Linked DNA regions of Mus musculus: all the other regions are reported to be linked to region 3. Evidence: microRNA targets listed by miRTarBase, many of them from high-throughput screens and not tested one by one. Region 3 holds a microRNA gene; each other region holds the end of a gene's coding sequence. Distances are from middle to middle.

Region 1 (4,068 bases), not on the chromosome of region 3:
CTGTGTCCCTTCAGGACTCACCTCCAGGACCTCAAAGAAGTAACACACAACATCCACTATGAGACTTACAGGGCCAAGAGGCTCAATGACAATGGAGGCCTCCCTCCGGTGAGCGTGGACACAGAGGAAAGCCACGACAGTAACCCGTGATGAGCCCTTCTCTGTGTTATCATACATATCCCCCTTCTCCAAACACACACACATCCTAGATACCACCTCCAGCCACCACCTCCTCTCAGCTCTGTCCCCCAGGCCTGTCTGGTATTTGTGCAGTATTTTGTCTAGTGTGTGTGTGTGTGTGTGTGTGTGTGTGTGTGTGTGTGTGTGTATGTATGTGTGTATGTGTGTGATGGAGAGTGCCTGCGTGTATGTGTGTGTGATGGAGAGTGCCTGTGTGTGTGTATGCATGTGTGTGTATGTATGCGTGTACTCAGGGGTGAGGTATTTTCATTGCCCTCTTTGGAAAGTCCTTTGTAAGTCTGCTTTCTCCATGACTCTCCATTCTGTCTCCTTTTTTCTTGTGCTCCAGAACAAAAAGCTGTGCGCCTCACTCAAGAGGTCTGGGGAAGGTTTTAATTTATAATGCTGGGAGCAGGTGAGCCACAGGCAACTCTTTCTTACTTCTGACCCACCCACAAACTGGGGCTGCAAGTATTCTTCATGGACTGGTGGCTGAGCTAGCCTGTGGTGGGCTGTGGGAGCTCAGAACAACTTTTCACTGTAAGTTGAGGTAATCTGGAGGAAGGCTAGGACTTCTTGGGGAAACAGAAGATTCGTGGGGAGCAGAGAAGAAAGCTGAGGGGCTCCTGCAGAATTGGTGTCTGAAAATGGAGCTCCACCCTTGTGTCTATGTTGGGGTCACTGTCAAACAGCGGATCATCACCGCTGCAAACCACTGCTTTCTGTGCCCGCCTTCCCTGTATTTCCAGGCTGGTTGGTTGCTTCCTCGTCCTGATTTCTCTTCTCCCTCCCCAGCGTCCTTTGCCTCCTTTCTTCATATATATTCATGCATTCACCCCATTTCCTGCCTGTCTCTGACCTTTTATCTCCTTTTAGAGTCATCTATGTTAGCTTCCTTTCTATATTTAGAAATCATGCCCAGACTTTCTAAATTGACTTTCTATTACCCTAAGATAGAATCACAGCTAGGGGCTGAAGAGATGGCTCTGTGCTTCGGGGGACCTTTTGCTCTTGCAGAGGACCCAGGTTCAGTTCCCAGCACCTTCTTGGTAGCTTACAGTTATCTGTGACTCCAGTTCCAGAGGACCTGACACCCTCTTTTAGCCTCTATGAGCATGGTGTACATACATACACATAGACAAGCACTCATACGCATAAGATAAAAAAAAAAAAAACCCTTAAAAGAATAAGATCCTAAGTAAAAGCATGGGGCAGGGCATGCCGAGATTGCAAGAGAATTCAGTTATAGAGAAGATGACTAGGAAAGCCAGTTTCTGCAGCTGACCACTGAAATTTGCTCTGACTTGGGAATAGCCTGGGGAAATGGGAGAATTTGGTAGCTTGGGCTGCTCTGGGTGTTCTGTTCAAGAAGCACATCTATTGGGCAAATGAGGCAAACTTTAGGTGGAGGAAATTATATTCACAAACTAATTCTGAAGAATCGGAAAAAATATACAGAGTTTCTTAGGCGGCTGGACTTGTGAGACAAACTAACACAGTTTCCCGTTTTCTAGCAGCCTTCTGTCCATGTTAAGCTGGCTTCTCTGTGGCTTTGTTTCTTACAAACCCAACTCACTCTTTCTCTGTTCTCATTTGTCTGTCTGTCTTTCTCGGCTTCTCCCCTCCCTGCATTCTCTCACCATCCAATCCTGTAGATGTTCCCAGGAATACCCACAGCCATACATTTAGCCTTCTCTTGCCTTCTCAGGAGCCTTGTATTTATTAATGCATACTTTAACTGCTCCTTGCACATTCAAGTTTTTTTTTTTTCCCTACAGTTTCTAAGGCTGCTTTAAGGAAAGCCATTTAGCCATAGGAAAGGGAAGATACCACAAAATTCTGTTTAGAACTGATCTATCCACTATGCCACCTCCCGGTCCAGCCTGGGTGTAGAACTGGTCTTCACTGACTTCAGCCCTTTATTACCCAGTCACTAGGAAAACAAACACACAGACAAACAAAAAACAAAAAGAGATGGAAGACCCACAATTCAGTGGACCAAGCAGAAGTGGTCCTAATCCTATGGTCTTAGCCTTTCCTGGAGACTGCTCTGTCTCTAGTCCTCATCTATAACGTCACTAAAGAGTGGCCAGCTGTCAGGCTAGAGTGGTAGCAACATAGAGCTCGCTGACAGCTCTAGTGAGCTGCCCTGTATGGTGACATGGGATTGGGCACCTAGGGCCAGCAAGGGATAAGAATGGTGGGTGTTGGAGAGTCTAAGTAGGAGAATGCTGCCTGTCTCCACTAAGCTGTGGTCTCACTCTCCCTGGAGAAGCTGTTTTATGTGTCTGCTGCCGGCTGCCGGTCTCCACACCCTCAACCGTTCTCAACTCCCCCTGCAGGGAGAAGGCCTCCTGGGCACTGTCCTTCCACCTGTACCAGCCACCCCCTGCCCCACTGCTGAATGAAGGCCATTTCAAGTGCTGCTTCTCCCTCATCCCTCCCAGCTGTTATTGCTGCAGGGCCACGCCCCTTTTAGCGCTGTGCTTGTCTAGCCCACCAGCACAGCCCCTCTCAGCCCTCAGTAGGTGGGAGGGGCTAGCTGCGGCTTTAGGACAGTTGCTTCCTCTGTTTAGCCAAACTACTCCTCTCCTCCCAATGGAATGGAGTTCCTGCCAGCACCACCCTGCTCCATCATCTGTGTCAGCAGCACCCCAGTCCTTGTGTAGGGAGGAGGAACTCATGGGAAGCTGCTCCTGCCCTTGCAAGCGCATACCAGCGACTTGTAACTGTCTCCAAGGGAACCGGCATTGCTCTCTAGCCATTCATTCTGCATGAGTACTTTCTTGGCTACCTTAACCGGTCAAGAAAGCAACTTTCCTGCTTGTCAGAGTCACTGAGGTCAGCCGTGTGAGCCCCTGTGTGGGACAAGGGTGTCTCCTTCATTGCTTAAAGGTATTTTATAAGGGTGATTCATTATACATGGTGGGGAGCCAGAGGCTAGTGTCACTTAAAAAAAAAAATCACCACTGGTGGCTGGCCCAGTGAGTATGTGTGTAGACAACCTGTTTACCCCAAAATATGGCCATCTGGGAAGTGGGTTTTGCTGAAAAGAGGTTGCTGGAGTTGACTTAATTATCCCCAAACTTTAAAAGAAAGGGAATTTAACACACATATGGACTACCCCAAACCCACCAGCTATACACTCTAGGAAGAAAAATAGCACCCTTTTATACATTTAGCAATAAGAGGGATCTCTTCCCACCTCCCCTGACTATTCCTACTCCCATCCCCCACCCTGTTAATGTGAGCAATGCATTAGCCTGACCACAGGTGGTCGCTATAGGCTAATGGAAAATACCCAAATGGAGGGCAAAGCCCCCATCAGATGCATGAATGTTTGCGAACGAACGGCTGCCACTGCCCCATACACTGTGTCTTTCTAGAACCCTCCCTCAGCCACCCCACCTGCCATCTCCACCTGGACACAACTTGCTCAAAGGCTGGTGACTTGTGGGCCATTCATCTACAAGTCCTGAAGGAACAAGAGGCCCAAGCCTCGGGGATGCAAGAATGGCCCATTTTAAAAACGTTGTTAGTCCCAGCCGACGTTTTTGGTGATATTCCAGTTTAGTTTCCCAATTGAAAACAAGCCAAACAGACACTCAGACTGGTCATGTAGATGTTGCTAGCCTCTGTTGTACAACTAAACATTACTGTTTGAACAATAATGGCCTGGTCTTTGTCTTATTCGTGTTTCTTGCTCCTTGATAAAATCAGCCGTGAATGACATCATCTCACTGCGTGTGAGCCAGGGACCCTCCTGGCAAGGCAAGAAGTAGCTACAGATATTAGATATTGAACATGTGGCATCTATTCATTTTTTGGGTAATGTGAGGCTATATCCCAGTCATTTCCTGGAATTTTGTAACTCTAGTGAGCGGGAGA
Region 2 (4,068 bases), not on the chromosome of region 3:
TTCCTTCAGATGTCTCCAAGAGGTATGAGTGCGCCAACTTTGGAGAGCAGGGCATCACCGTGGGATGTTGGGATCTCTACAGGCATGACATTGACTGTCAGTGGATCGACATCACAGATGTGAAGCCAGGAAACTACATTCTTCAGGTGCCTAGCATCTGCCTGAGCTTTCAGATGCTGGGGTTTGGGGTGAGTGATGAGGACACCTGTGACCTGTCGGAGTGCTGCTGGGTCACACCAGCTTTCTTCCTCACTCACAGGTCGTTATCAACCCAAATTTTGAGGTAGCAGAAAGTGACTTCACCAACAATGCAATGAAGTGTAACTGCAAATACGACGGGCATCGCATCTGGGTGCACAACTGCCACATCGGTAGGTAACAGATGAGATGGGTGAATGCAGGGCAGGAGGGAAAGGCTTCCATGCTGTCACTGCCCATGATGGGTGTGTGCTCTTGCCTCTGTGCAGGGACAGCCCCTCACAGTGCCTGTCTATTCTGCAGGTGATGCCTTCAGCGAAGAAGCCAACAGGAGGTTTGAGCGCTACCCTGGCCAGACTAGTAACCAGATCGTCTAAAATGCTACCACCCTCTCTGTAAACCACCACTGGCCCCCAATGGCAGGGGTCTGAGGCTGCCATTACCTCAGGAGCTTACCACAAGAACCCCTGATGTCAGCAGGCGCCCTACACTCAACCACCTGTGCACTACAGGCAACAAACTGTCAAACAGAAGTTGGTGCCTCCTTTACGGGGTCAGCTGTCATTACCTTTGGCCAACAAGCATGGAGAATCAGCCAACAGCCCCAGCAACAGACAGAACACACCACAAAGAACTGCCCCACACAGGATGGCAGCAGCTCATTCTCTTGAATAGGGGAGGTCAAGAGGGTCAGCTCCCATCGCTCTCCGTTCTCCTAAGGACCGCGTTACCTCTAGCCATTTGGTGGGGGAGAAGATCCAACCCCCACTTTTGACTGTAACATGTTGCTAGGTATAATTTTATTTTATATAAAATGTGTTCTTCGGAGCCCAGGACTGATGCAGCGGTTAGAGGGACTTGCCCTCCGCAGGTTCACTGACTCCTCCTCTACCCACATGCACTCAGAACCTAGGCTAGGAAAGCAAGGAGGAGATCAGGGCAAGAGCTTCACACTCTTGCCGGTCCAGTCATTCATTCTGTGACCTCGGGGGTCACATATAAGGTCAGTGTCTCTGATCCGCGCCGGATCCGCACTGCCAGCTGTGATTGGGTTCGAACAGCTTCATAAACATCTTCAGCATTTTGTGCCAATTTCTCCCCAATGGCCAAGATCACATCACCAGGCCGCAGACCAGCCCTGTGGAGGATGGACGGGGCAAGGAGAGAATAGACAGAGAAGTTCAAGGATACATCCACCCATCCCATCCCACCCAACCCCCCCCCCCAGAGCACGCTCCCCATCACCTGTGTGCGGGGGAGCCCAGGATAACTTTATGAATGAGGACACCATGCTGAACATCAGGGAAGCTTGGCTCACGGAGCTGTAGTTCAATAAGGATGCTGAAAGGGCACAGACACTATTAGCTCCACACAGGCCCTCTCCCATCTTAATAGTTCACCTTCTGCCTTCTAGAGCTTAGGAAGTGGGATATACACATAAAAGATAGCTAATTTCGAAAGATACATGGTGTTGATCAACTTCACTTCTGTCATCCTGAAGGGTTAGAACTTAAGCTGAGCCTAGAAGGGTGGGTCCTACCACCTTACGAAATAAGGTATTGAGACATAGAAGTGGAAAATGAAAGTAGTTCCGAAGAAACGGCAAGCTGTCTGGAAGGATAACGAGATGGGTGGGAATGGGCGGGAATGGGCCTCCAGTGCTAGGTCAATGTTGGCTTTACATCACAGCAATAGCAGGATGTACTCAATCTACTGAAAGATCCAGATGCAGTGGGATGAGAAAGTTATGAGAGGGAACAGTGCTTGTGACAGAAGACAACAGCTTATCTTAGGAAAAAACAGACATGAGAGAAAACCCAAGAAAAGGATAGGGTGTGTGTATGGTGTGTGTGTAGGGGTGTGTGTGTGTATGTATGTATAGGTGTATATATATATACATATATATAGATATATGTATATATCACCACACTAACATACATATATATGTATATGTATATATCACCACACTAACATACCTGGGAGTCAGGGTCAGCATCATCACTCCAATGTAGCGGCGCTGGGACCCACTGGTTCCAAACCAGGAATCTGTAATAAAAGAGGACAAATGAACCGCCCCCCAGCTACATTCTTTCCCTTACTTTCTACCAGCACACCCCTCTATACCAAGCCCCAGTGAATGCCCTCCCCTAAGTCCCATCCTCCATTTTAAAGGAACCCCTTTCCCTGTAAGACAGGCTCACTTTTCTTTTCCCCGCGATGCAGAAACTCCCTAAGGCGATCAGAAGGGATGGCAAAGGAGATTCCAGCTGTCACCTTCATGGTGTTCACTCCAATCACCTCCCCATCCTGCAGGGACACAGCCCCCTGTCCCCTAGCCCACACAGATGGCAGAGGATGGGGGCACCTGAACAAGAGTAGCAAGGATTTGGGGACAGAAGTCTGTCTGTCTGTCTGTCTGTCTGTATACCAGGAGAGGAACAAGAGACTAGAGACTTAGCTAAAATTCCCTAAATCAGAGGAAAACCCACACTTCCCACACTAACCTGGGGCATGGATTCTTAGAAGAACACGGACACTCACCAGGTTAACCAGGGGACCACCAGAATTTCCAAACTGTGAGATAAAATGAAAGAAAACATCAAAAAGATCTGGAATCCCATGCTCTGGGAATTCTAAGACCGAGGACATAAACAGGGTGTAGGGAAATTTTTCAAATTCCATTCCTAGCACATGAACTAGAGAGGCTGCCTTTTGCAGCCCAACCTCTGATACAGGCCCAGTCACCACCACGTGTCAGTTGGTGCTCATACCCAACAGCTGTTCTCCCCAATTCCAACCTTAGCACCTAATTTCCCTCATATCAGGACGCACATCAATAGCTGCATCGGTCTGAATGTATTCCACGTTGTTTTGAGGGAGTCCCAGGTCCCTGGCTGGGCGCTGAGCAGAGCTGACAATACCAGATGTGATCGTGTTCTGCAGTGCAAAGGGGCTTCCCATGGCAACAACAAACTCCCCTTGCCGGACATCAGCAGAGCGGCCGAGGGGCAGTGTGGGAAGAGGCTCCTTAAGGGAAACAAGGCCAGCAAAACTGGTCATTTTAAGAAGGGAGCAAGAGAACAGCTGCCATCAGATCTGGCCTACTCCATCCCCACCTTGGTTTGAATCCTCAGTGTGGCAATGTCTGCTACGGGATCCACAGCTGTGACCATGGCCTCATAAGTATCCCCGCTAGGCAGCCTCACTCGTACTCGGCGCCGATCAGCCACCACGTGGGCGTTGGTAACGATGAGCCCATCTGAAGCCACTACGAATCCTGATCCGTTTGAGATGGGGACTTCACGGCCGGAGAAAGGGTGCCTGGGATGGGGAAAGTACCCATTACACTGCAGCTTCCACCTCATCCTGCTCCCTTGCCTTCACTAACGGCAGTTCAACACCTCCTGGTCAACTTCACCATTACCGGTCTAGGATCTCGATATAGACCACAGCAGGGGCTGTCTTCTCCACCACATCTGCGATGAAATTGTACTGGCTCCGGGGAGAAGTGGGTGGCGGAGCAGGAACAGCAGCCAGCACCGTGGAAAGACCCCGACCCCAACCCCACAACAGCAGCACCACTGCACCTCCTGCGCCCACCGCCACCGCCAGCCATTCGCGCCGACGGCTTCCAGGGCTCCTGCGGGCCTCCTGGTCACTGGAGCCTGAAGTCCCCACATTCAATCGTGCCCAGAGATCCGGGGTCCTAGACGTCAGATCTGCCCGTGATGCAAGGAACCCCTCAGGCACCTGGGCCGGGAGACTGGGGGTCCCATAAGTCATCCAGATCTGAGAGTCAGGAGTTCCTGACGTCAGCAGAGCCCGGAGGTCAGGAGCTAACAGGGGAGGCTTCCTCCAGAAGATGCCCCC
Region 3 (4,068 bases):
ACCTCCAAAGCAGTAGGTCACATATCATTCAAATGGATCCGTGAGTGCCATTCCCGCATGTCTGTGTGCATGTGTGTGTAGGTGTGTGTATGTATATGCATAAAATATACACGCATATACATGCAGGCACTTACGCACACAGGCACATACATAGGGGCCATCACATTATTCCAGGATGATCTCTAACTGCTCATGAAGTTAAGCATAAAATTGAACTCCTGATCTTCCTGACACTGCCAATTGTTTACACCTGGTGAGAGAGAATATTCACTGTCCCTCTACTTTATAATCAGCAAAATTCTAAGACATATATCATTCAAATGGATCAATGAGTGTCATTCTTATGTGTGTGAGTGTGCATGCCTGTATGTGTGAATACATTTGTATGTGTGTGTATTTACAGGGATGATCATATATACACATGTACGTGCACACACAATTATATGCAAATGTACATAACTAGGGTCGATCCCACAAATCCAGGGTGATCTCTAACTCATCATGAAGTTAAGCATGAATTTGACCTCCTGAGACTCCTAACTCTGGCAAACAGTTTTCATTTGATAAGTGAGATTTTTCCCTATACCATGAATATAAACTCAATGAAACTCTAAGCACGTATAAATCAAATGGATGACTGCCATGTGTGTTTGTGTGCACATGTATGTGTCCCTAGTTGTGTGTGTGTGTATATATATATATATGTATGTATATATATATATATATATATATATATATGCATGTTCATATACGTGCATGTACAGGCATACTTCCCTATACACATAAACACAAACACAGGGAAAATCTCATGAATTCCGGGCTGATCTCTAACTCATCAAAAAGTTAAACATGAATTTGAACTGCTCATCCTCATGATGCTGGCAAGAGTATTCACCTCCTAACTGAGTCATAGCTCGGGCCATTCGTGGGAGTATGTTTGCATGTGAGTATATGCATATTCATATACAAAAGTGAATATGTACACAACTATACACACATGCACATTCTTGGTGGACATCACATGAATCGCATGCTGAACTCTAACTCATCATGAAGTTAAACATGATTTTGAACTCCTCATCCTCCTGACACTGGCAAGAGTGCTCACCTCCTAACTGAGACATAGCTCTGGCCATTCCTATGAATGTGTGTGCATGTGTGTATATGCATATTCATATAGAGAAGTGAATATGCACACAACTATACACACATGCACATTTTTGGTGGGCATAAGATGAATCCCATGCTGGTCATGAACTCATCATGAAATTCAGCACGAATTTGAACTCCTGATCCAACTGACTCTGTCAAGGGATTTCACCTGCTGAGTGAGACCTCTCCCCATTCAGTACTGAGGAATCTTAAAACTCTAAGTCACACGTCATTCAAATGGATCGATGAGTTGCACTGATGTTTGTGTGTGTGTTTCTGTTTGTGTCTGTGTACATGTATATATTTGTGTAGATAGGTACATCCATATACTCAAATCCACACACAATAGAAACAGATACAGATAGGGATACATAGGGGGCATCACATGAATCCCAGGCATATCTCTAAGTCATCATGTAGTAAAGCATGCATTTGAACTCCTGATCCACAATCTTTCACACCTGGTGAGTAAAACCATTCACTGTCCCACTACTGCATAATCTTGAAAACTTTAAGTCACATATCATTCAAACGTATAAATGAATGCAATTTTTCCTGTGTGTGTGTGCTTGCAGATACACGTGTGTTTATGTTATGTATATCATGTCAACACATACAATGCACATACAAGTAAGCACACATGCACATAAATGGGTTGCATGACATTAATACCAAGATGTCTCCAAATGAAGTTAAGCATGAATTTGCAATCCTTATCCTCCTGACTTTGTCAATCTTTTACACCTGGTGAGTGAGGCCATTCAATGCCCCCTATTGCATAATCTCTAAAACTCTACATCACTTATCATTCAAAGGGATTGGCGAATGCCATTCCTGTGTCTGTGTATGTGTGCTTGCGTTTATACGTGTGTGTGTATGTTATGTATATTCAAATATAGACATGAACATGCACACACAACTATACACACATGCACATACATGGAGGAATCACAAGCTGATCTCTCATGAGGATAAGTATGAATTTGAACTCCTGATACTCTTAACTCTAGCAAGCATTTTCACTCTAAGTCACTTATCACTCAAATGGATTGATGAGTGCCATTCCCATGTGTCTGTGTGCTCATATGTGTCTTATGTGTGCGTGTATGTATATGTATATCATATTCACATATGTACATGTACACACACATCAACACATACACACATACATAGGGGCAATCACATGAATGCCAGGATGACCTCTAACTCATCATGCCTTTACCACGAACTTGCACTCCTGATCTTCCCGACTCTACCAAGGGTTTCCTGTGGTTTGTGAGACCTCACCCTGGCCCAGTCATACATAACCTCCAAAGCAGTAGGTCACATATCATTCAAATGGACCGTGAGGGCTATTCCCGCATGTCTGTGTGCATGTGTGTGTAGGTGTGTGTATGTATATGCATAAAATATACACGCATATACATGCAGGCACTTACGCACACAGGCACGTACATAGGGGCCATCACATTATTCCAGGATGATCTCTAACTGCTCATGAAGTTAAGCATGAAATTGAACTCCTGATCCTCCTGACACTGACAATTGTTTACACCTGGTGAGTGAGAATATTCACTGTCCCTCTACTTTATAATCAGCAAAATTTTAAGACATATATCATTCAAATGGATCAATGAGTGTCATTCTTATGTGTGTGAGTGTGCATGCCTGTGTGTGTGAATACATTTGTATGTGTGTGTATTTATATGTATGATCATATATACACATGTACGTGCACACACAATATATGGGCATGTACATACCTAGGGTCCATCCCACAAATCCAGGGTGATCTCTAATTCATCATGAAGTTAAGCATGAATTTGAACTCCTGAGACTCCTAACTCTGGCAAGCAGTTTTCATCTGATAAATGAGATGTTTCCCTATACCATGAATATACACTCAATGAAACTCTAAGCACGTATAAATCAAATGGATGACTGCCATGTGTGTTTGTGTGCACATGTATGTGTCCCTAGGTGTGTTTATATATATGCATGTTCATATACCCGCATGTACAGGCACACTTCCCTTTACACATAAACGCATACACAGGGAAAATAACATGAATTCCGGGCTGATCTCTAACTCACCAAAAAGTTAAACATGAATTTGAACTGCTCATCCTCATGATGCTGGCAAGAGTATTCACCTCCTAACTGAGTCATAGCTCGGATCATTCGTGGGAGTATGTTTGCATGTGAGTATATGCATATTTATGTACAGAAGTAAATATGTACACAACTATACACACATGCAAAATCTTGGTGGGTATCACATGAATCGCATGCTGAACTCTAACACATCAAGAAGTTAAACATGAATTTGAACTCCTCATCTTCCTAGCTCTGGCAAGAGTGCTCACCTCCTAACTGAGATATAGCTCTGGCCATTCCTATGAATGTGTTTGCATGCGTGTATATGCATATTCATATAGAGAAGTGAATATGCACACAACTATACACACATGCACATTTTTGGTGGGCATAAGATGAATCCCATGCTGGTCATGAACTCATCATGAAATTCAGCACAAATTTGAACTCCTGATCCAACTGACTCTGTCAAGGGATTTCTCCTGCTGAGTGAGACCTCTCCCCATTCAGTACTGAGGAATCTTAAAACTCTAAGTCACACGTCATTCAAATGGATCGATGAGTTGCACTGATGTTTGTGTGTGTGTTTCTGTTTGTGTCTGTGTACATGTATATATTTGTGTAGATAGGTACAGCCATATACTCAAATCCACACACAATAGAAACAGATACAGATAGGGATACATAGGGGGCATCACATGAATCCCAGGCATATCTCTAAGTCATCATGAAGTAAAGCATGAATTTGAACTCCTGATCCACAGTCTTTCACACCTGGTGAGTAAAACCATTCACTGTCCCACTACTGCATAATCTTGA
Region 4 (4,066 bases), 120 Mb from region 3:
GCCAGAGCAATTCGACAACAAAAGGAGATCAAGGGGATACAAATTGGAAAAGAGGAAGTCAAAATATCACTTTTTGCAGATGATATGATAGTATATATAAGTGACCCTAAAAATTCCAACAGAGAACTCCTAAACCTGATAAACAGCTTCGGTGAAGTAGCTGGATATAAAATTAACTCAAACAAGTCAATGGCCTTTCTCTACACAAAGAATAAACAGGCTGAGAAAGAAATTAGGGAAACAACACCCTTCTCAATAGCCACAAATAATATAAAATATCTCGGCGTGACTCTAACGAAGGAAGTGAAAGATCTGTATGATAAAAACTTCAAGTCCCTGAAGAAAGAAATTAAAGAAGATCTCAGAAGATGGAAAGATCTCCCATGCTCATGGATTGGCAGGACCAACATTGTAAAAATGGCTATCTTGCCAAAAGCAATCTACAGATTCAATGCAATCCCCATTAAAATTCCAACTCAATTCTTCAACGAATTAGAAGGAGCAATTTGCAAATTCATCTGGAATAACAAAAAACCGAGGATAGCCAAAACTCTTCTCAAGGATAAAAGAACCTCTGGTGGAATCACCATGCCTGACCTAAAGCTTTACTACAGAGCAATTGTGATAAAAACTGCATGGTACTGGTATAGAGACAGACAAGTGGACCAATGGAATAGAATTGAAGACCCAGAAATGAACCCACACACCTATGGTCACTTGATCTTCGACAAGGGAGCCAAAACCATCCAGTGGAAGAAAGACAGCATTTTCAACAATTGGTGCTGGCACAACTGGTTGTTATCATGTAGAAGAATGCGAATCGATCCATACTTATCTCCTTGTACTAAGGTCAAATCTAAGTGGATCAAGGAACTTCACATAAAACCAGAGACACTGAAACTTATAGAGGAGAAAGTGGGGAAAAGCCTTGAAGATATGGGCACAGGGGAAAAATTCCTGAACAGAACAGCAATGGCTTGTACTGTAAGATCGAGAATTGACAAATGGGACCTAATGAAACTCCAAAGTTTCTGCAAGGCAAAAGACACTGTCTATAAGACAAAAAGACCACCAACAGACTGGGAAAGGATCTTTACATATCCTAAATCAGATAGGGGACTAATATCCAACATATATAAAGAACTTAAGAAGGTGGACCTCAGAAAATCAAATAACCCCCTTAAAAAATGGGGCTCAGAACTGAACAAAGAATTCTCACCTGAGGAATACCGAATGGCAGAGAAGCACCTGAAAAAATGTTCAACATCCTTAATCATCAGGGAAATGCAAATCAAAACAACCCTGAGATTCCACCTCACACCAGTGAGAATGGCTAAGATCAAAAATTCAGGTGACAGCAGATGCTGGCGAGGATGTGGAGAAAGAGGAACACTCCTCCATTGTTGGTGGGATTGCAGGCTTGTACAACCACTCTGGAAATCAGTCTGGCGGTTCCTCAGAAAATTGGACATAGTACTACCGGAGGATCCAGCAATACCTCTCCTGGGCATATATCCAGAAGAAGCCCCAACTGGTAAGAAGGACACATGCTCCACTATGTTCATAGCAGCCTTATTTATAATAGCCAGAAACTGGAAAGAACCCAGATGCCCCTCAACAGAGGAATGGATACAGAAAATGTGGTACATCTACACAATGGAGTACTACTCAGCTATTAAAAAGAATGAATTTATGAAATTCCTAGCCAAATGGATGGACCTGGAGAGCATCATCCTGAGTGAGGTAACACAATCACAAAGGAACTCACACAATATGTACTCACTGATAAGTGGATACTAGCCCAAAACCTAGGATACCCACGATATAAGATACAATTTCCTAAACACATGAAACTCAAGAAAAATGAAGACTGAAGTGTGGACACTATGCCCCTCCTTAGAAGTGGGAACAAAACACCCATGGAAGGAGTTACAGAAACAAAGTATGGAGCTGAGATGAAAGGATGGACCATGTAGAGACTGCCATATCCAGGTATCCAGGGATCCACCCCATAATCAGCTTCCAAATGCTGACACCATTGCATACACTAGCAAGATTTTACTGAAAGGACCCAGATGTAGCTGTCTCTTGTGAGACTAAGCCGGGGCCTAGCAAACACAGAAGTGGATGCTCACAGTCAGCTAATGGATGGATCACAGGGCTCCCAATGGAGGAGCTAGAGAAAGTACCCAAGGAGCTAAAGGGATCTTCAACCCTATAGGTGGAACAACATTATGAACTAACCAGTACCCCTGAGCTCTTGACTCTAGCTGCATATGTATCAAAAGATGGCCTAGTCGGCCATCACTGGAAAGAGAGGCCCATTGGACACGCAGACTTTGTGTGCCCCGGTACAGGGGAACGCCAGGGCCAAAGGGGGGGAGTGGGTGGGTAGGGGAGTGGGGGTGGGTGGGTAAGGGGGACTTTTGGTATAGCATTGGAAATGTAAATGAGCTAAATACCTAATAAAAAATGGAAAAAAAAAAAACAAAAAAAAAAAAAACAAAAAAAATAAAAAATAAAAAAATAAAAAAGAGAGCAGGGGAGGGGCGTGGCATTCATTATACTTAGCCATGAGATAAATACCAACCCAAGCTACTTTTTCTTACCCTTATCAGAACATGTCTCTAACATGAGACAAAAATGTCAGTGTGCATTTGAGTAAACAGAAATTCTTTATTCATTGTTAGTTGAAATGCGACCTAGTATGGTCATTGTGGAAATCAGTATGGTGGTCTCACAACAAGAACAAAACAACACACACACACACACACACACAAACCCCCAGAAAACTAGAACTGTTTATGAACTAGCTTCCTACTCCAGGGCACACAAAGGATTCTATCTTTTACAAGAGAAACCTGCACATCCATGTCAATTGTTCCTCTATTCACAATAGCAAAGAAATGGAATCAGCCCAGATGTTTATCAATCAACTGATGGTTGTATAATGACAATGTGGAATCATACACAATAAAATTCTTTTCAGATGTACACCATGAAATTTGTATAAAAATACATGGGGTTAGAAAGTAAAGACCTTAAGGGAAAAAGATGTTAAGAAAGGAGGAGGGGACATTGACAGATGAGACATGGAAGTGGAAAGTAAGCTATGGGGTGTGAAAGAGAACAAAGGGGGTCAAAAGTATGGGGAAGAAAAATAAACATTTTTTTTTCTTAAAATGCCATAAGGAAACCTAATCCTACATACGCTAACTAAACATAATTTATAACTCTTTTTATGGCTTACTTTTAACTTAAATAGGTCAGTGTTTAGAAAGGTGATTTCTAGCAGGGCATGGTGGTTACTCCCGTAACCCCAGCACTTGGGAGGCAGAGGCGGGTGGTTCTCTATGAGCTCGAGGCCAGCCTGGTCTACAGCCAAGTCCAGGACAGCCAGGGCTCTGGTTATACTGAGAAATTGTCTTGGAGTTGGGGGCAGGGAGGTAACTTCTATAAAGCATCTAAATTTGAATCATTCTCAAGAAGATTTGTATACTAAGAGCAACCCAATAGATCAGCCTGCTTACAGGGGTCTCCTTACTTTGTTTGTTAGAGTATTTAGAACAACTAGGTCACATGGGTATATCATATGGGCTTTATTTTTTTTAAACATACATAAATAGTAAGTATGAAAAAAATAGGATTCAAAGTGAGAGTTTAAATTTACTAAGTGTGTTTTGGAGAAGGTCCATATTCATTTTATTTTCTTGAACGCTTATATTCTGAAAGCATCACAATTAGCCTATTACGCAAGGTCTTAATCTTGTTGGAATACTGTTGTTCAAGTAATTTCTTCATATTCTGTCTCAGAAAATCCAAAGATGGAAGATTATGACAATCCGGTATATTCAACATGATGTGAAAAAATTCCTCCCACATATCCAAATGAGGAAGCCTAATAAAGAGACAAAATATTACAATGGATAAAATGCAACCTTAACGTTCATAGCAACGAGTTCCTCCATCTACTTTGTATAGGTGTGGACATGTTAAAAAAACAACTGTCATCTACCTGTATCTTAGCAAATCAAGAATCCATCACAAACAGGAGAAATTAAAAATC
Region 5 (4,068 bases), not on the chromosome of region 3:
TTTGTTTTCTGTTCTAAAGGAAATGGAGAAGTCAGATGCCAACAACTTCTTAATCTTGTTCCGGGATTCAGGCTGCCAGTTCAGGTCTTTGTATACTTACTGCCCAGAAACTGAAGAAATCAATAAACTGACTGGGATAGGTCCTAAATCTATCACTAAAAAGATGATTGAGGGACTTTACAAGTACAATTCTGACAGAAAACAGTTTAGCCACATACCTGCTAAAACTTTATCTGCTAGCGTGGATGCGATTACCATTCATAGCCACTTATGGCAGACCAAGAGACCAGTAACCCCAAAAAAACTCTTACCCACTAAAGCATAGGCAGCAGGAGATGCTCGCTTCAGAACCTTTGTGGTAAATTTGTACTTCGTCTTTCCTGCCTATAGAAAAACCTTTCTAATTGCCAACAAGATTTTTATCAATTAAAACTGGACCTTAACTCTGTTGTTGTGAACAACTGGAATGTAATCACAGTGTTTGGAATGCCGACGGTTCTTACTAGGTGATAAGTCCACGCGATGAAGGAAATGCTTTGATTCACAGGCGGAGATTTGCATGCTAGCAGGCTCACCTGCCTGTGTTAGAGACCGTGCAGCACTGAATTCTCATGGACACAGCGGGACATAGGCTTGAGGTGTGGCTAGATGGCAATTATGTGATGTATTCTTTTTACCCCTGTACTGTGTGTGCACATCGTCAAATGGTTTCGTTGTTGTTGTCGTCGTTCTGTTCCCTCTCCTGGGGTTATTCTAAGCTGCCTTTGTGTTTGTTTTATGTGGAGATCATGAAAGTAGAAAGTTCCTGTTGAAAAGTACCTTGCACCTTTCATATGATGGTAAGAGAGACACTAGTATTAGTTTTACAGTAGCCCTCGTGTTCTGATGGTGTTACAGTATTTGCAAGAATCCTTCTAAGTATTTACATTCTGTATTTATTATTCACACAAGTATTAACATTTCTCTATTAGTAAGGAGGTGTTTAAAAGCTGCTGCTGGGTCCCCTGCAGACCACACAAGCTAACCCAGCACATCCTGTAAGAGGCTGCTGATGAAATCAGTGCTGGTTGTCTCTACACCACTTCTGCCAACTCAGAACAAATCAGATTGTACTTTTAACAACAGAGCACTTTGTATTGCATTTAAAGTGCGTCACTGTATAAGGTGGCAGAAGTGAGTGAGTGACACGTGAGTGCTGCCTTTCTGTATGAAAGCATACAGCTTCCTGGCAGCTCAGGAGGCCTTTATATTTATAACCGATAGGGAAATTATATTTAGGATTTTTAAACATGCACAAAGGGCTACATTTTGATTTGAAAGTAGCTTCCTGTTATTTTACTTATACTGGGTTTTCTTTCCTTTGAATCCTTTTCCAGTGGAACAGCTTAGATTCAGGGCACACTTGAAATCTCCTCTCCATGATCTTTCTTCTTTAGCAAGCATACCAGAGTAAGTTGGGGGGAAACTTCATTCTCAGGAAAAGACTTGAATGATTGATTGTGTGGCCCTTTTATGTTTCAGTGTTGTGACAACTGTGTACACTAGTGGGGAAGACATTGTTTATAAGTGAGAGAGTAGTTTGTTTTCTTTCATGGGATATAGAGATGAAATATGTACATTTCTCTAATTAAGTTGTTTAGAGAGGGAACTCATGTCTCATGTTATGTATTTACTTATTTAAAAAGAAGAATGGAATGGGAAGTCCCTCAGCTGTACTTTTCTATTATAAAGCCTTTAGGGATCAGTGCATCTGGGTTTTCAACATTTTCTCAAATGCTGTCAATATTTTACTGTAATTTATGTTCTTATATTTATGTATATTTGTTAAAACTGTAAAAAAATTTTTCACAGATTTTTTTCCAATACCTGTGCAAAATGTATGTGTAGCTCAAGACTATTTGTGATCTACTGCTTGCATGTGAGAGACCAGGATATGTAACTCTTATATTTTAAATGTATACATACTGTGTATATATAAATATTAAAAACGGGGAATTTCACATTTTACCTTTCAGACACCAATTTTTATCACAATTAGAAGGAAATGGGCAAACAAAGACATCCTTACGATAAGATTAGTTTAAGAGTTATAAACAAACTTAATCAAAACAAAGTGAATTATAGACAAAGGAATTTAATAAGCATTTTCTACTACTAACCAAGGTCTTTTCCCTATCAAAGCAGCCTCATGGCTGTCACCTGAGTACTGAATAAAGAAAAGTCAGGTGCAGGACATTGAGAGAACTAATGAACACTGACCTCGCCTGTCTTCGTTCTTCCATCTGTACATCCAGCAACTGAGCGGAATGTCTAGTGTCTAAAGGTGTGATGTGAATATTGCCACAAAGTTCATTGCTCTCAGTATAAGATTTTACTTTATTAATGCAAGAGGAATACAGATATATTTCTTTAGTCTGCAGATTTTTTTTTATTATGGTGCAGCTTTTTAAATTATGTTTTAAAATTATACAAATGAAAAAATGCCATTCCATAAAGTTTGGAGATTTCCATCCACCTTACTGAAACACAAGCGTTGTCATCGTTGGAGGTCAAATTACCATGGTAACTACTCAGTTAAATCTGCCAAATCCTTGTCATGGTAACCAGTGTGGCCTGTCAACTCCTGCTACTTACCACAACTTCTAAAGTTTTCCTCTCAGTTTCTCAGTTTTGTTTAGGAGGACTATTGTTTGTATTTGGCTGCTCACAGCCAGAGTCTCCTTCTTTGATGTGACTCATGGACACTGTTGGGCGATGTGCAGTGTGTAGTGTGCTTCCTGTCCACTCCTGAGCGCTGCAGATGATCCGTCAGGCTTGCTCGTTCCTGGGGGTTACAGTGTAGTTCCCCTTTCATCTGAATAAAAGCATGGCACCAACTGACGCTGATTCTTCAATAAAGTGCGTGTTGTCTTGTCTTGTGTTTGATAACGTTATTTGGACTCAGGAAAATACATCATGAAGTTTTCTTGTCTCAGCCTAGGTTTAAATTTAGTAATTGAATATTTACCTAAGTAATTTTTAATATTAAATTATGCTTGAATGCCTTTTGAGGTGGCATTGCGGTGTTGTTAAGTTTCTGTGCTTTGCTCTGAAGTATCTGTCTCTATGACTCTCACATGTTTATGTTCCTTATACACAGTCACACTGGCTCTAGTGAGTTGAGAATTGTGAGGTGTGAGTACCACTGCGTCTTCAGTGTGGCTCTGAGCCCCTCTACACAGTGGCCAGTTCTGTACCAGTCTCTAGCTGTCACTTGTGCTCAGTTTATTCGGATGAAGGCATGAAATAAATCCTGATAGCCAGAACAACCCTCATGCATAACTGTGCGCTCAGACACTGCCTGAGCTCTTTTGTAAGATGCTCAGTCCTCAGCCAAGTGGTTGTGGCGCACATCTTACTCCCAGCACTTAGGCGGCGGAAAGCAGGCAGAGCTCTCGAAAAACCAAAAGATAAACAAAAAAAGACACTTGGTCCTCAGAGTACAACTATACTTCCATAAGTCTCCAGTATTTTAATTTTCCAAAATAAAAACATTTGATCCTAAAAACTGAGTGTATCAGCAGAGGGAGGAATATCCATAAACTATGATGCTTTCCCTCCCCCTGGCTAATAAGCGGGTGAACGCTGCTGGGGTCGAGGAAAATGCCCCACAGCAGACAGGAGCATCTTCACTACTAACCCCTATACAGAGATAATGAAGAAAAGCTGATGAATCAAAGAGCCTCAAGCCTATGACCAGGAATTAGAAAAAAAATTCTGAAATGAGTGAAATCCCATCATCCCATAGAAATAGTGCTACTTAAAACCAGAGCTGTGCTTTCAGAACAAGGGTTTCTTTTTAAAAAGAAATCAGGTTTTTGTGGGGTTTGTATAAATCGATGGAGTTTGAATCATCTCATGTTTGCACCTTTGGGCATCTAGGCTTCTCAAAAGCACCTCAGCATTGCAGTGCTGTGCTTAGATACCAAAACTTAGTGTCACTGTTGCACATGAGCATCGACCAGTGTTTTCTATTTGTGTTATAGAAGGATAGGAAGGACTGGAGAGATGGCTCAGTGGTCTGTATGT
Region 6 (4,068 bases), not on the chromosome of region 3:
CTGTGCAGGAGGTTGGGTCAGGAGTGGGCATGTCTGAGAATGAGTGTTCCTTCTCCTTTGGGGAGACCTGGGTAGGAGGGAGATGGCCAGGTAGTGGTGGCCAGGGTGGGGGTGGGGCAGGGGGGGTGTCTAGGAGTGGAGGCCAGGAAGGGACATAGCAGGGTAGAGGCAGAGGGGCTGCACCTCTGGGGGGATTTGGACTAATGAGGGTTCTGAGCAAGACCAGGGCATCAGAACTAACACTGGCAGCCAGCCGGCTCTGCATCACCACAGAAACTTTTCTTTGCTCACAGGTTGCACGTTCATTGAGGAGAATTTTACTTTGAAGTGCCCCAAACATAAGGTAGGTGAGCAGGCTCCCCAGAGAAAGCATTCCCTACCTAACCCAGTTTCTCCCTGCCCTGCCAGAGAGTAGGGAGGGGTGCAGGCTGGGTCCTAAAGTTACTTTGCCAGTCTAGGGTGATTGCACAGTTCTTGTGGAAGGACAGGGGTGGCAGCGGCTGGTGATAACAGTAACGGGCTGTCCCTCCCACAGAGGCTGCCGTTGTAATCCCCGTGTGGCCGAAACTCCGAGGAAGAAGAGCTGCGCCCACAGCCGGTCCTTGATCCCATCCAGGGTCTAGGTTCCGGCTGCCTTGGGCGCTGGCGTGAGGCCTAGGTTGCGAAGAAAACCGGGGCCAGGCTTGGCGAAGGCAGGCCAGGGAGTGGCCAGACCCAGGGCACAATGTCTCAGGCGGGGGGCAAGTCCCCTGCAAGTTCTGAAAAAGACGTGGCATGCAAGCTGTGCCCCTGGGAAGAGGCTAGGCTGCTGGCTCAGTGGACGACGTGGGGCAGACCCAAGCCTTTCTTAGAGGCCCAGCGGCGGGGGACATGGCTCAGCACTTGGCATGGATCTGCCCAAGATCGTGGCAGCCTGGGCTCAGGCCAGTCTATCCTTGATGCGGGCTGGCCTGGGGTGGCGCCCTATGGCTTCTGTTTGTCCCCTTTCCAGTCTTCCACCCCACTGTTGGAGCCCCGTCTGGAAGCCTGAGGAGACTGGGCCTGGCTACCCTCTAGCAGATGTGCAGCTGTCCCAGACAAAACACCAACATGGGATTCAGGGACTGCCACTCAGCTCACTCGGCTCATAGGCGGAGACAGTGCTAGATTCGTGTACAAACCTGTGTACCCCTCTATATATATGTTACATAGAATGTATATATGTTGGGAACATGCTCGCTTCTGTGTGTCGCTGCTGTGCGTCGTGTGCTCCACAGCACAGAGCCCTAACCTGGCCTTGGCTGGGGTCGGGGCCAAAGTGATGCCCCTTCCCCGAGCAACTACCACCATCACCACCACCACGGCCAGCCCCCACCTGTCCGTTTGTGTCCTCAGCTCTGTCCACGCTTTAATAGGCCTGATGCAGCCCCTTCTCCCTGCAACGTTCTGTACATATGACTGTAAAATGGTAAACGTGTGTATTATATCTGGCCTCGTTATATAGTGTATATATATGTATACATATACATATATATAATATATATGAAGACTGTAAATGTTAAGACAACTAGTGTTCTTATTAGTATATTGCTTCACACTGAAGATTGTGTGTATCGAGCTGTTTCTAAAAGATGTTTATTTTCCTTAAGAGTTAAAAAAAAAAAAAACAGTCATTGCATTCAGAAAAAAAAAAGTCAATAAAGATACCACGATTGTTTTGGAAGTGTGCGGCCTGTGGATGCCGACCAGATTCCCTAAGGGGTTGGGAGTAGAGGGAAGGGGCCGGGGGACACAAACAGGGTTCCCAGTCTACTCACTAATGGGCCCTGATCCTTCGCCTATGCTGGTGCACAGAGATGACTAGGGAACTGTGTGTGTTTCTGGATATACGGGGTTATTACCTGGTGGAGGGCTGGAAGGCAAAGGAACAACTGAGACCATCAAGGCCCCTCAAGGGTTATGAGCCATGAGATCAGAGGGCCAAGGTGGCTCAACATAGCATCACCAAGCCAGCAAATACACCTTACAACAGATGGGAAGTCCGGCTTCCCAAAGGACAAGCCAGGAAAGATAGCAATCAGCTGAGGCAGACATCTGCCTACCCAGATAAACAAAACTGAAGTTATAAATAATTTCATTTTTTAATATTCTGTACAAAATTTCTCAACCTATGAAAATAAAGTTTGCAAAAGTCAAAGTAGTACATGGGCCTGCCCTGGAGCCAGGCCCAGCCGGATCTACACTATGTACAGGTCTCCCAGGGTGAGCCTCAGCTAGGGAAAAGCCACTAAGGTGCCTACAGAGCAAGAGGGTGCCATCGGGCCAGTGCAGCCTCTGCAATTTCCAGATCTGCCACTAGAGGTCGGCATGGTCCTGATTGCTTGTCAGGCTCACCCTCTGGAAGACCACAGCCAATGACAAAGGTCCTCAAGGGAAAGCTTTGGGGTCTAGCTGGAAGTGACGGTGGTTCCGCCGCCCAGGCGCAGGAGCATCTGCTGGCAGTCCAGCAGTAGCCGGTGATCGCCAAGCTTCTCTACGGTGCGTGCCGCCTCGGCCAGCATGCTCATTCGCTGCCCAGGAGCCGACAGGAAGGCAGGGGGCAGATAGCAGGATGCCAACAGCAGGGCCTCGGTGTGCTCCCGCCATGTGGGCCGTGGCTCCAGCTCAGCTGTAGTGCCTGCACAGATCACATCAAAGGGAGGGAGGCTTAGGTCTGGCCGAGCCCACACCCCATGTGCAGGACAAAGTAGCTGAGCTCTTCCACGTGGAACTCCCAGTCTGGCTGCTTTCTCCACTTGGGCTGGGCACACAGGGGGGCTCAGCTTCTTTCCTATGACTGCCTCAAAAACTGTCATCCCCGCTGATTTCTGTAAGTCAGCTCTCAGTATGTCTCACTAGACCAAGACGGCCCCTGACCCTCACCAGCCCTGTAAGCACAGCCACCTCCTCACCTCCTTTGCCACTGGAACCTGCCCTCCTCCTCAGACTGCGATCCAGGAGCTGGTGTGTCCGGGCAGGACTTGCTCCTGCCATCAGCCGAGCTGTGGCCTCATGTAGGAATACCTGAGAGGCAAGGAGTAGTCACCCGTTTCAGATTTACTGTCCCCCCACTCCCGGCTTCCTACCTCATGCCCCTCAGTGTGAGAACAGTGGGACTCACCCTCCTCATAGCAGGCCGGAAGCTCTGTGCCAACCGCCGCAGGCTGCTCAGGTCATGTTGGAAACCACGCAGCTCCAGAGCAGAGGCCTGGGGTCCATTGCTGGTACCGTGAGCTACCTGGACTGAAGCTGGTGACTGCTGCCGCTGCCACAGACTGGTACGGGCCACAAGAAGTAGATCACACAGGAGCAGCTGCATGGCCTGGGATAGCAGGCAGGGCAGAGGGAGGAGTTTCCCTATGGACATCAAGCTTTCCCTAGCTGAGGGCCACCCTGTCTCAAGGCAGCGTCAGTAAGGGCAGGAAGTCCACAGCACTGGGGCCTGACTCCAGGTTGCATCACTGAAGCACTGCATCTGCCTCAACACATGCACCGCCTCCTGCTACAAGCCCGCAGTCTTCCCAACAATGGCTCCCAACAGGAACCCTGCCAGTCTGCTCCCCACACCCTCCTTCCTGGTGGTGGCGAAACAGTAAAGCCCCCTCTCCCCAAGACTTAAGCCGTCGTTAAAACTGAGGTAAATCCATTTAGCATTATTCTGTACTAACACCAAGAACCTGGAAATGGACAGCTGTGACCCTGGCCTAGACAGGAACCCACCCTACCCCTCACCTTGTCAATGGAACTGCCAGTTGGTGTAGAGGCTAAGCTGTCCCGCAGGTACCCACTGGCCTTCTCACAGATGGCCAGGCTGGCTGGGCTAGATTCCACCTTTCTGTGGTCCAGCAGAGCCCGGGCAGCCTTGAAGGAGTACAGAGCTGCCCTGGGCAGGGGTCTCCTGTTGGGGCCATGGCAGACATAGGAAGTTAGACCAAACTACAGCCCTCCCTGAGATCTCCCGCCACGGTTCTAGACTCCTGGGAGGACAGCACTGTCCTCCTGTACAGATATTTAAGCAAAGTACTGCGGGGCTGACTGGGCGGGAGGGAC
Region 7 (4,055 bases), not on the chromosome of region 3:
GAGCGAGCTGCTGCGTGAGCAGAACTGTCTAGACTCGAGTAGAGCTGAAGCCCCTTTCCTCGCCCTCACCTCTCTCTCCCTTGTGTCTGGGGATCTGGAGGATTGCTGGGCCCGTGAGTTATTAGGCATGATGTTTTCTTTTATTAGGTTGGAATGAAATACAGAAACCTAATCCTGAAGCCTGGGGGGTCCCTGGACGGCATGGACATGCTCCAGAATTTCTTGCAACGTGAGCCAAACCAGAAAGCATTCCTGATGAGTCGAGGCCTGAATGCTTCGTAAAGCAGGGACGCTGGGGGCTGTCCGTGGCTGGAGGACAAGCCAACACCGTCCGCCATGTGGTGCCGGCCTGGAGACTGAAGGCAGTTTTACAAAGGAAAACTTAGATTTCTATTCATTTGCTTTTGTTTCTTCATTTTAAAAATTATACAGATGTAAATGGAATTATAAATACTGTGACCTAAGAAAAGACCCACTAAAAATAATTGTACTATAAAGTTTCATAAAAACAGATTTGATTTCTTTTGATAAAAGTTTCATATGACTGTAATTTGATTTTTTTACTGTTATAATCCAGATAATATAATGTAAGAGGGCTAAGACATTTTAAATTGAATCACATACATGATATAATTTGATCTTTCTTATATCTTGAAGTTTTATACTTGAGATTCCTGGACTGATAAGTGAATCAGCATGTTCTCTCTGGTAAATATTTTCTCAGAGCCCTGTGTCAACCTTGACCCTCTGCCTCACAACTAAGTGACAGTTTGCCTGTGTGTGTCAAGGCCCGCAGGATACACTTCAATGCTGTTTGTCTTTTGTAGTGAGCTTTGTGATTCTCGGCTTCTGTCACACTTACTTACATAGCTCCACTTAGATTTGGGGTTCTTTCCCTTCTAAAATTTAATTTCTAAAGTTAATATTATTATTTAGATAATATTTTTAAATTTTGTTTCAACTGGCCTAGTATATAAGTTTTGTGTCTTGCACTAGAAGCTCAAATGTCAAGTCTTCGGTTGCAGTCACAGTGAGAGAAGCAGAGAACTTAGGCATCTTTTGGGTTCTCGACTTTTAGTATTTGCTATGTATTTGTTTCTGCTTGTTTTGCTTATATATATATATTTTTTTTATTTTGTTTGCTTGAGGCACCATCTCACCATGGAGCCAGATTCGCCTGGAACTCATGGTAATTCCCCTGCTTCGGCCTCCCAAGCCTTAGGGGCGCAGGTGTGAGCTGCCTCACTCAGCTCAGTTCTCACGTTTCTAATAAGACTCTGACCTTGCCTCCCTGAAAGTGGTAGGTCGGCCCTGTAGTCACAGTGTGTTGAAGTGCCAGGGGGAGAGATGACATCCACTGGAACTTAGCTTTGAAAACTCCAGAAAAGAGTGCGTTGGAGCAGAGCGTTTGCGAACAGCTGCTCCCAAGTGTTCCGTGGGCAACCGAGCTGTGGGAAAAGGCTGTCCAGCAGGCTGTTTCATATGGCGACTGTTAAGTGAACCTCCAGATCTCCAACTCCTTTTATTGGGACCTAAGTTTCCAGCTCAGAGTAGTGAGCTCACAGCATTATTTTAGCCTTGGGAGTCTACTCCAAACGGAAGCCAAGTAGGATAGAGAGGAGAAAATGTAAATGAGCTGTGATCGGACTTTCCACAGGGCTTTGAGTTGTTTCTCCACACATACCTGAGGAATGACTTTCCTGGCAGGAAACGAAATTAGAGCCTGTCTGTTCTTTAGACCCGGTGGACTTTGTGTTCAATAAAATATTATGTCGTGTAATAAAGTTATACAGAGTACCAAGAGCTGGTACACAGCAGGGAAGCCCTTTGTTTATGTAGTTTGATTTGATTTTTACAAGGCTGGGCATCAAACCTCCGGCTTCTTCACCCATGCTAGCAAGTGCTATGCTCTCCCAGCTGCTTTTATGGTGGTGGTAGAAACCTCTGGAAGCGTCTCACATCTGTCCCCACCCCCATTTTTGTTTCCTACTTTCAGACAAAAAAAAGGAGAAAAAGAAAGAAAAAAAAAAACTCTCTTCAGCTTTTTCTATTATTGCCCGGTTTGTCTCCTTCAAAAATAACTTCATCATAAATCTTACTTTACTTGGAAAAGCTAATAGCCAGTGTGTAAAAGACTGACTGCACACAATAAAGTGACATCATTGTCCGTGAGAATGAGCTCACAGTACTTTTGTCTTTTAATGTTAAAGGCACAGCGAATCAGCCGCGCAACCACCCCTCGTGTTGTGTTTATAGGTGGATGCCACCACCCTCTGCTTGGGCTTCTATTTGGTTGGATATTCCTGCATGTTCCATTTCCTCATAAGGAACAGGTTTGGTACCCCTGTTCCGCTGTGCTCGTCCTCTGTTCTCAAGCTTTCCACCGGCGATTTTCAGATACCCAGAGGCAGCTCTAAAGTGTTCTTCCCAAGGTACAATGTCTGCAGCGTTTGTCATCAGAGAAGCTGGATACCTAAGAAAGTTTTATAGAAAGTGCTCACTGTGCCCATCAAGGTACTTGGTGTCTCTGTTGACATACCTTTGTGCTTGAGAGATAGGACTGGATAACTTTGGCTAAGTGGATTCCTAGCTATTGAATAAAGAGGGGGAATAGCAAGTCCTTTGGCTAAAAGCAAGAAAATCCACTAAAAAATACTAACATATAAATAACAGCTGGAATAGTTATATATGAACATGTTATTAAAATTGAAAGATTCCTCTACTAAGACAAACATAAAACAAAATTAATCAAGTCCCATTGTCAGGTAGAGGCAAAACCTCACTGTGATGATGTGACTTGGCAACCAAAAGTCTTGGTGACCTTCTAGCCAAATATCAGTAGCAGTTCACTGTTTAGCACATATAGGGAGGGGCCTGTGGGAAGCACAAAGCCTTTGAAGAGGGAACTGGAAGATGTTTGTATCCAGATCGAAAGTCCCTCTGGATCCCAATATGGTTAGCTCCCATAAGGAATGGGCTACTATGACCCATCCTAAGAACTACATTTTCAGCAGGCTTGTATTAATTAGCATCACAAGTGTTTGAGAAACCAACAATATGGTGATGACTTTGGAAATAGCCCTCAAGAGGAAAGTTCGTCTGGAGAGTGAATTCTCAAGTGAATTCTCACTGTTTCAAATACTTACACACTATGGGAGAGCTGATGTCATGGCTAACGGTGTTGGAGCTTAAAGGTACAATTAGAAAATAGAAGACTTCAGTATGAGGAACAGCTCCTAACTGTTGACTGAGACGCTTTCTGCTGCTGTTTGTGAGGGTTCATAAAGAACCTGTGTCCTCCATGGGTGTTACAGACATTTCCTCCACAGGTAAGCTTTGAGGTTTCTTTCTGTAGTGGTCAGGGAGACATAACTTGGGTGACAGGTTCGTGTTCTGCATCTTAGGGCACTGAGAACCGGGGATATGGGTTACTGGATAAAATACCTGCTGGGCAAACGTGAACCCCTTCATCTACAGAAAAGCCAGGTATGGCAAGAGATGCTACTACTGTGCCAATCCCAGTGCTAGGGGGATAGCAAACAAGCCAGCTCCATGGCCAGCCTAGACAAATCCGCGAGTCCCAGTGTAGAGGACCAGTCTCAAAACATAAGAGGAAGATAACCAGTATCAGTCTCTGGCCTCTAACATGTACTTTGGCACACACAAATGCACATGAATGTGCACACACAAATAGAAAAGGCGTTGACATAGTGTAGCTTCCCTTATGCTACAACCAGACCGGTTATAGTTCGTGTCATAGTTATCTGTAGTTAGCCTGCATAACTTCAATTGGAGCTTCTCAGGCTTCCCTGGAATCTGATGTCATAGTTGACATCGATAGTCAAGTTGATTCAAGAACCCCTAGTAGATTAACCTCTAGTTGTGTCTACAAAAAAAATTTCCAGGATGGATTAAGAGAGGAAAGACCTATGTTCAGCAGCCTTGGAGTCCACGTGTAATAAAATGGAAGAGGGAAACCTGAAGAGCAGGCCTCTGCGCCCTGATGTCCACAGTGTGAGTCGCTCTGTCTCATCACACCCTCCCTTTCTCATTAG

Evidence for each region. Region 3 holds the annotated microRNA mmu-miR-466a-3p (UAUACAUACACGCACACAUAAGA, at 2,243-2,265, opposite strand). A microRNA usually pairs through its seed, bases 2 to 8, with sites in the 3' UTR of a target mRNA and lowers its output. Matches are read on the target gene's strand: a 7mer-m8 pairs with bases 2 to 8, a 7mer-A1 pairs with bases 2 to 7 and ends in A, and an 8mer does both.
Region 1: the mRNA of Septin3 is a reported target of mmu-miR-466a-3p. The part of its 3' UTR that is shown has no 7-base or 8-base seed match.
Region 2: the mRNA of Loxl3 is a reported target of mmu-miR-466a-3p. Seed matches in the 3' UTR shown: 7mer-m8 at 2,068-2,074, 8mer at 2,072-2,079, 8mer at 2,110-2,117, 8mer at 2,142-2,149 and 8mer at 2,148-2,155.
Region 4: miRTarBase lists Bub1 as a target of mmu-miR-466a-3p. Seed matches in the 3' UTR shown: 7mer-m8 at 3,615-3,621.
Region 5: miRTarBase lists Camsap2 as a target of mmu-miR-466a-3p. Seed matches in the 3' UTR shown: 7mer-m8 at 1,663-1,669, 8mer at 1,813-1,820 and 7mer-A1 at 1,954-1,960.
Region 6: the mRNA of Rai1 is a reported target of mmu-miR-466a-3p. Seed matches in the 3' UTR shown: 7mer-A1 at 1,193-1,199 and 8mer at 1,492-1,499.
Region 7: the mRNA of Nln is a reported target of mmu-miR-466a-3p. Seed matches in the 3' UTR shown: 7mer-m8 at 1,086-1,092.

What each region holds. Positions count from the first base shown.
Region 1 is chr15:82,290,724-82,294,791 of GRCm38, forward strand. Septin3 (septin 3) reads left to right here. Exons shown (of 12, transcript NM_001368785.1): 11 at 15-108; 12 at 530-3,851. The coding sequence ends at 583. Among named protein-coding and RNA genes, the nearest start is that of Wbp2nl, 6.2 kb to the right of the region's middle.
Region 2 is chr6:83,050,299-83,054,366 of GRCm38, forward strand. Loxl3 (lysyl oxidase-like 3) reads left to right here. Exons shown (of 14, transcript NM_013586.5): 12 at 10-146; 13 at 260-371; 14 at 502-2,268. The coding sequence ends at 575. It overlaps Htra2 (HtrA serine peptidase 2), which reads right to left. Exons shown (of 8, transcript NM_019752.3): 1 at 3,623-4,068; 2 at 3,315-3,519; 3 at 3,031-3,225; 4 at 2,740-2,772; 5 at 2,400-2,505; 6 at 2,175-2,244; 7 at 1,444-1,539; 8 at 968-1,336. The coding sequence ends at 1,171. Among named protein-coding and RNA genes, the nearest start is that of Aup1, 2.2 kb to the right of the region's middle.
Region 3 is chr2:10,474,877-10,478,944 of GRCm38, reverse strand. Mir466b-8 (microRNA 466b-8) reads right to left here and starts at 2,317; the gene lies at 2,232-2,317. The region is part of intron 10 of Sfmbt2 (Scm-like with four mbt domains 2); the gene reads right to left. It overlaps Mir669k (microRNA 669k), which reads right to left and starts at 3,645; the gene lies at 3,519-3,645. It overlaps Mir467a-1 (microRNA 467a-1), which reads right to left and starts at 2,599; the gene lies at 2,527-2,599. It also overlaps Mir669a-1, Mir669g, Mir669j and Mir467a-2.
Region 4 is chr2:127,797,541-127,801,606 of GRCm38, forward strand. Bub1 (BUB1, mitotic checkpoint serine/threonine kinase) reads right to left here. Exons shown (of 25, transcript NM_009772.2): 25 at 2,660-3,898. The coding sequence ends at 3,703. Among named protein-coding and RNA genes, the nearest start is that of Mtln, 7.1 kb to the left of the region's middle.
Region 5 is chr1:136,267,099-136,271,166 of GRCm38, reverse strand. It overlaps Camsap2 (calmodulin regulated spectrin-associated protein family, member 2), which reads left to right. Exons shown (of 18, transcript NM_001347109.1): 18 at 20-3,044. The coding sequence ends at 325. Among named protein-coding and RNA genes, the nearest start is that of Gpr25, 8.2 kb to the right of the region's middle.
Region 6 is chr11:60,197,496-60,201,563 of GRCm38, forward strand. It overlaps Rai1 (retinoic acid induced 1), which reads left to right. Exons shown (of 6, transcript NM_009021.2): 5 at 294-343; 6 at 536-1,700. The coding sequence ends at 550. Srebf1 (sterol regulatory element binding transcription factor 1) reads right to left here. Exons shown (of 19, transcript NM_011480.4): 16 at 3,751-3,916; 17 at 3,140-3,340; 18 at 2,931-3,042; 19 at 1,589-2,656. The coding sequence ends at 2,427. It overlaps Mir6921 (microRNA 6921), which reads right to left and starts at 3,122; the gene lies at 3,043-3,122.
Region 7 is chr13:104,021,173-104,025,227 of GRCm38, reverse strand. Nln (neurolysin (metallopeptidase M3 family)) reads left to right here. Exons shown (of 13, transcript NM_029447.2): 13 at 148-1,789. The coding sequence ends at 282. Among named protein-coding and RNA genes, the nearest start is that of Gm30967, 15 kb to the left of the region's middle.